Coturnix japonica: one gene and its partner. The protein of the gene in region 1 interacts with the protein of each later gene in a pairwise test. Links are inferred from orthologs where the notes say so. Each region holds a gene or a part of one and is shown on either strand. Other genes may lie near its edges.

What was found. The genes of interacting proteins can lie anywhere in the genome.
Region 2: the proteins of CARD9 (region 1) and TASOR2 interact in binary tests that used the Homo sapiens proteins (3 or more experiments, as listed by UniProt). The two-hybrid records come from large-scale screens. The link is inferred for Coturnix japonica from reciprocal best matches to the Homo sapiens genes CARD9 and TASOR2.

Annotation. Positions count from the first base shown.
Region 1 is NC_029532.1:6,405,222-6,407,918, reverse strand, and holds part of CARD9 (caspase recruitment domain-containing protein 9), read right to left. Parts: intron 2,435-2,697; coding exon 2,255-2,434; intron 2,081-2,254; coding exon 1,931-2,080; intron 1,480-1,930; coding exon 1,354-1,479; intron 1,239-1,353; coding exon 1,047-1,238; intron 555-1,046; coding exon 513-554; intron 177-512; exon of another isoform or gene 1-176. UniProt on the Homo sapiens protein: Adapter protein that plays a key role in innate immune response against fungi by forming signaling complexes downstream of C-type lectin receptors.
Region 2 is NC_029516.1:1,112,301-1,116,244, reverse strand, and holds the start of TASOR2 (protein TASOR 2), read left to right. Parts: upstream 1-1,135; 5' UTR 1,136-1,576; coding exon 1,577-1,619; intron 1,620-3,944.

The sequences.
Region 1 (2,697 bases):
CAGGCATATAACCGACCTTCCCCCACTGCATCTTGCTGTAAGCAAAACAGGAAACATTCTGAACTAGAAGCTGTGTATCTACACACAGACTTATCCTCCATGACTATGGGCTCATTCATTTTGTCTCCAGACAATGTGACAACCCCTACCACAGTTATGAACTAAGCTGGAAAAAACCAAAACCCTCTTTTCTACGCATGTTCTCAGGATAATACTTATTTTTGCACATTCTCTCATAAGAGAGAGATTAGAAGCAATGCAAAATAATTTGAATCTTCTGGTCTGCTTGGACTTAAATCTTATCACAGCTGCATCCCCATGGTCAGAAGTCTCAGGACATAAGGAGAAGCCACCCTTAGCTGTTAGCCTGCTTTGCTGCCTCAGGACTTGATGTCACTGCTGTGAGCCTGACCCATGGAGCACAGACTGCTGCTTCTTTGGGAATTAGCGCAACTGAGGAAGCTGAAACCATCCCAGGAGAAAATGAAACATAAACAAGGCACCCTACTCACATCCTGGGAATCTCTGGAGGAGGTGTCATCCAGGTCAGAAGTCTGAAATAAAACCAGTAAGTTTGTTACTCCTCATGAGTGAATAAATGGCTGCAATGGAACACAGAGGACATCAAAAGCTCCAGAAGATAGAAATGTGAACTAACTTCCTCCTACACTCATCTGACCATTTGGAGAAAGCACATAAGATGCCACAATAATTACAAGTCTTCAGATGTCTCATTTAATTCCATGAACTCTCATACCCTGCTCCTATTTCACCCAAATGGCTTGTACAGACTCCAGAGTTCACTCTTTAGTGGGTGACAATGCCTTTATGGTGTCTGGAAGCACTCCAAATGTGTAAGGCTTCAGCAGACCAGGGTGAGCTCCTAAGAACCATCACGTCTTCACAGAAATAAATGGTTACCCAAGCAGGTGGCCACTGCTTGCTGAAATCGGATTGGTTAGGTCTCAGTGTCTCAAAGCAGTCTTATTTGGATCCTAGACTCAACACTTTCCAACTCATCACACACAATAACCCCACAAACATACCAGTGCAGGCAGCTCCAGTTGCAGCCTTTTCAGCTTGGTTTCAGTAGCCAGTAGCTGACTCTCCTTTTGGAAGAGTTGCAGCTGCAGCTCATCGCATCGCTCCCCCAGCTCCCGAATCTGCTTCCGATAAGCATCCCTCTCAATCAGGTTCTTTGAGTACTGCATGTAGAACTGTTCTCTGGTCAGCAGTGCCTGGTGTAAGAGGCAACGTGTTGTAGCACGACACCACATTCAGGGTTACAATACCTGCCTGCTTCAAGCAGCAAGCCAGGGATTAGCAGCAGCTTCTGGAGGAACGTTTTATCACCTGGTCTCTTTCTGAAGCCACTTCCTCCATCTGCTGTAAGACAGCATCCATCCGTTTTCTATACATCTGGGAGTCCTTCCTCAGAGACATGCACTGTAGTTCAAGTATCTCTTTTTCCTCTGCATACTGTTGAGACATGGCTTGTGGGGTGAGCCCAAGCTAGAATCTCATCACTTCTGCTCTATATCACAGATTGCTATAGCCAGACTTCCCTGCAACACCAAAGCCAGACTGCCCTGCCGGAGCAAAGCCAACCAGAAGACCAGGCAGTATGACTAGAAAGCCTGCTAACATGGCAGATTTTACATGTACCTGAGCTGTCAATCATGATATAAGCTCCCATCACCCTGCAGGCTGAGGCACAGGCATCAACAGGTAACACAGTTAATGTCACAGACTCAGACCACTAGAATATTAGCACATCTTTTCCCTCAAACTGCAACACAGACCCTAGAATAGAAGCATCAGCGAATGCTGCCTCGCAGCTCTGCTGCTTCACTGGTAAGACACTTTATGTGCTTAATCTGCCCATCTGACCCCACTGAGCCCCAGCAGGGATTTGTACTGCACCACACACTTTGTCTCGGAGCACCTCGGCTTGGCGCAGCTCCTTGCGGAGGTGGTACAGGGTGTTCAGCAGGTCCCTGCGCTCCAGTATCTGGCTGCAGTCATTCTGCACAGTCTCACGGGAGAGATTCTTCTCCAAATTCTGTTCTCTGGCAACCTGCTGAACAAAAGATACAGCAACCATCTAACTCTGAAATCCAACGTGCTCTCTGTACAACTTGGGAGAACAAGGCCATAGCTGACCCTCAAAACACTCAGTACAGCTCCATCGCTGTGCTGGCTGCATAGAAGAATAATTTCTTTAGATTCCTCACCCAGTCACCCCCCCACCAACCTGGAGAGTGTTCTCCAGCTCCTGATTCTTGGCCAAAAGCAACTCCTTCTCCTGCTGGATCTCCCACATCACTTCATGGCTCGGACGCTGTTCTATGGCGTGCTTCAGTTTCATTGAGTGTTTACGCTCTAGTTTGCAGTCATCCTCAGCCTTCATGAGGCTATGCTTCAAGCTGTCAATCTACAAGGAGGTTCAGAGCTCATCAGTAACAGACACAAAAGCCTGGTTGCAAAAGCAGTGCTCTCGTGGCAGAGTTCCCCATTTATCAGGCAAGCATGGTGCAAGCTTTTCCCCAGCTCTATGTTCCTTAGGAAGTCTGGTGTTCTGGGGAGCTGAGACTTTGTGCTAAATGGGTACAACAGGCTGGTTCTACATTGCCCTTGTGAGAAGGCCCAGCCTCAAACAAGGGGAAGACTCGATTCTTCATGGCACAGCTTGTAACA
Region 2 (3,944 bases), on another chromosome or scaffold:
TGAATATTGTCCACTGATACCTCTGGGCTGGTGCTGACACCTTACAGAGAATAAAAAAAAAAAAAAAGCAAGCTAGAAGCATCGTGAAGGTCCAGAGAGATGGTGAAATGATTTGTAAAATCATTAAGGTTGGAAAAGACCTCCAAATATTCAAGTCCAACTGCCAGGATGTCACCACCATGCTCACTCATTGAATTATAGCTAGCAAACATAGAAAAATACACCCAACCAAAGCTTCCCCATGAGGGAAGGGGCTGAGGGATGGCAATGGGGGGCTGAGGAATTGTGATTGGGGCTGAGAGAAGGCAATGGGGGCTGAGATCTGTGAGGGAAGGGGCTGAGGGATGGCAATGGGGGCTGAGGGATGGCAATGGGGGCTGAGATCTATGAGGGAAGGGGTTGAGGGAAGGGGCTAAGGGATGGCAATGGGGGCTGAGATCTATGAGGGTAGGGGCTGAGGGATGGCAATGGGGGCTGAGGGAAGGCAATGGCGGCTGAGATCTGTGAGGGAAGGGGCTGAGGGAAGGCAGTGGCGGCTGAGATCTGTGAGGGAAGGGGCTGAGGGATGGCAATGGGGGCTGAGATCTGTGAGGGAAGGGGCTGAGGGATGGCAATGGGGGCTGAGGGAAGGTAATGGCGGCTGCGATCTGTGAGGGAAGGGGCTGAGGGAAGGCAATGGGGGCTGAGATCTGAGAGGATAGGGGCTGAGGGAAGGGGCTGAGGGGTGGCAATGGGGGCTGAGGGATGGCAATGGGGGCTGAGGAATGGCGATTGGGGCTGAGAGAAGGCAATAGGGGCTGAGATCTGTGAGGGAAGGGGCTGAGGGAAGGCAATGGCAGCTGATATCTGTGAGGGAAGGGGCTGAGGGATGGCAATGGGGGGCTGAGGGATGGCAGTGGTGGCTGAGGGAAGGTAATGGCGGCTGAGATCTGTGAGGGAAGGGGCTGAGGGATGGCAATGGGGGCTGAGGGAAGGTAATGGCGGCTGAGATCTGTNCGGCTGAGATCTGTGAGGGAAGGGGCTGAGGGATGGCAATGGGGGCTGAGGGAAGGTAATGGCGGCTGAGATCTGTGAGGGAAGGGGCTGAGGGAAGGGGCTGAGGGATGGCAATGGGGGCTGAGATCTGTGAGGGAAGGGGCTGAGGGCTAAGATCAGTTCGGGAAGGGGCTGAGGGAAGGCGATGAGGTCTGAAAGAGGGGTCTGTGTAAAACAGGGCTGATCTCTGTGAGGGAACCGGCTGAAGGACGGCCATAGGAACGTCACTGTGCCACGCTGACCCACGGGAAGAGGAAAGCCGCGGGCGCGGTCTCGCTGTCTTTCCGGTTCAGTTTTCACTTTCTGTTTTTTTTCAGCCCTCGGCCCGCCCTCTCCTTCCCCTCCCCGGTGTTGCCTTCCCCTCCCTGGGGGCTGGCGTTGTTTTGCGGTCTCGTAATGCCGCCTCGTTTCTCTTGATTGCCTCCCCCCCCCCCCTTTCAACCCGCCCGGCCCCGGGGACCGCGGAGCCGAGCGGGGAGGGTCGGGCGGGAGTTATGGCGTGAGGGAAAGGAACGGAGCCGAGAGGATTAAAACCCCGAATATGGGAGAACGGCGGGATGAGGCGGCCCCAGGGCCGGGAGCGGGTGAGTATCGCGACCGGGGAACCGAGGGGAACCGAGGGGAGCCGGGTCTGTCTTTTCCTGCTGGGGTTGGGGGGGGTTTGGGGCGTGGATTTAGCTCCCCGTGTTCCCTTTTGGAGCGGGGTGAGCCTCGGAGGTTTCCCCCCTTTAGGATGAGGGATAGAGAGCAGCCCTCGGCGCTATAGGCAGCCATCCCAATGCCTTCAGGCTCCCTTGGTTCTATAGACAGCCACTCCATGCCCTTCAGACTCCCTCAGCCCCAAGCCAAGCCCTTCAGATCCCCTCCCTGCTACAGGCAGCTACCTCAAGCCCTTTAGACCCCATCAGCCCTACTGCAAGGCCTTCAGGCCCTTTCACCCCTACAGACAGCCATACCAAGGTTTTCAGACCCATCACCCCTACAGGCAGACACTGCAAGGCTTTAAGACCCCATCAGCCCTACAACCCCAAGCCCTTCTGACCCCCTCAACCTTATAGATAGTCTTCCCAAGGCCTTCAGGCCCCTTCATCCTTTCAGAGAGCCATTTTGAGCCCTTCAGACCCCCTCACCTCTACAGACAGCCATCCCGAGTCTTCAGACCCTCTCAGCCCTACCCCAAGGCCTTCAGACACCTTCAGCCCTATATGCAGCTACCCTAAGCCCTTCAGACCCACCCACCCAGCCTGACCTCAAGGCTTTCAGACACCCTCAGCCCTACTAAAAGCCCTTCAGACTCCTTCACCCTTACAGACAGCCATTCCAAGCCCATCAGATGCCCTTACCCCTCCAGCCATCCATTCCAAGCCCTTCAGACACCCTCAGCCCTACAAAAAACCACCCCAAGGCCTTCAAATCCTCTCACCCCTGCAGACAGCCACCCTATGCCCTTCAGAACCCCTCAGCCCTTCGGACCCCTTCACCCTTTCAGACAGCCATTCCAAGCCCTTCAGACACCCTCAGCCCTACAAAGAGCCACCCCAAGGCCTTCAAACCCTCTCACCCCTGCAGACAGCCACCATATGCCCTTCAGACCCCCTCAGCCCTACAAAAAGCCACCCCAAGGCCTGCCCAATCTTCTCACCCCTGCAGACAGCCACTATATGCCCTTCAGACACCCTCAGCCCTACTATAAGCCCTTCAGACCCCTTACCCCTCCAGACAGCCATTCCAAGCCTTTCAGACACCCTCAGCCCTACAAAAAGCCACCCCAAGGCCTTCAAATCCTCTCACCCCTGCAGACAGCCACCCTATGCCCTTCAGACCCCCTCAGCCCTCCTATAAGCCCTTCAGACCCCTTCACCCCTCCAGACAGCCATTCCAAACCCTTCAGACCCCCTTACCCCTCCAGACAGCAACCCTATGCCCTTCAGACACCCTCAGCCCTACAAAAAGCCACCCCAAGGTCTTCAAATCCTCTCACCCCTGCAGACAGCCACCCTATGCCCTTCAGACCCCCTCAGCCCTACCCTGAGGCCTTCAGACCCCACTCAGCCCTATCTCAAGATCTTCCAAACTGTAACAAAACTGTTTTAATTTCTCCTTGGGAATGCATTGGCCATTCTAGGCTTCCCATTTGCTGTGCATTCTGGTAAAGGTAAAATGGGGAAAGGTGCGGTCTTTATTTTCTTGTTGTTGCTTTGTGGCCTCTCCTTGGGAGCTGGGTGAAGTTATGCAGATGCCCTTCAGGAGAGCAGGGCATGGAAATGCAAACAGAAGTTTCATGTGCAGGATGGAGGCTGGGAGACCTTTGTTTCCATTTTGGACCCTTGTTGGGATGGGAACCAGCATTACAGGTGGAAAAATTGGCATTAGAGTGGTGTTTCTATACTGGTTTTGCACAATTCTGCCTCCAGTTCATCCCCAAACTGTCTTGCAGAAGCTTGGGCTTGCCATCTATATGCACTCCTTGATAGGGGGAAATCTGGATAGACAGAACTCCCTAGACTGTGTTACTTTGCTTAACCCCAGGTGAAGAGAAGGAACACTGGGACGAATCATAGAGTCATATCATAGAGTGGAGGCTTTGAGGAGCATCTGTGGAGATGAAAGAGAGCAGCATGTGATGTGATAAAATAAGGATTGTAAGACCTGTAGGCAAAGGACACCTCCTCCATTGCTGGGACCACATTGCAGTCTCTGTGTTCTGCCTTGGTTGATCGGTTTGCAAATAGTCTGCCTTAATTTGGCTCCGTTTTGGGCTTACACTGAATGAGTAAAGAGGCTTCCGTGCTGTAGTGCTGCAGCACTAATGAACCAGGGCTCATTATGAAAGCTGGGCTGCACATGTAGCTAAAAGAAGTTTGCAGGTAAAGAGCTGATCAAGCAAGTAATAATGTGTTTTATAATTA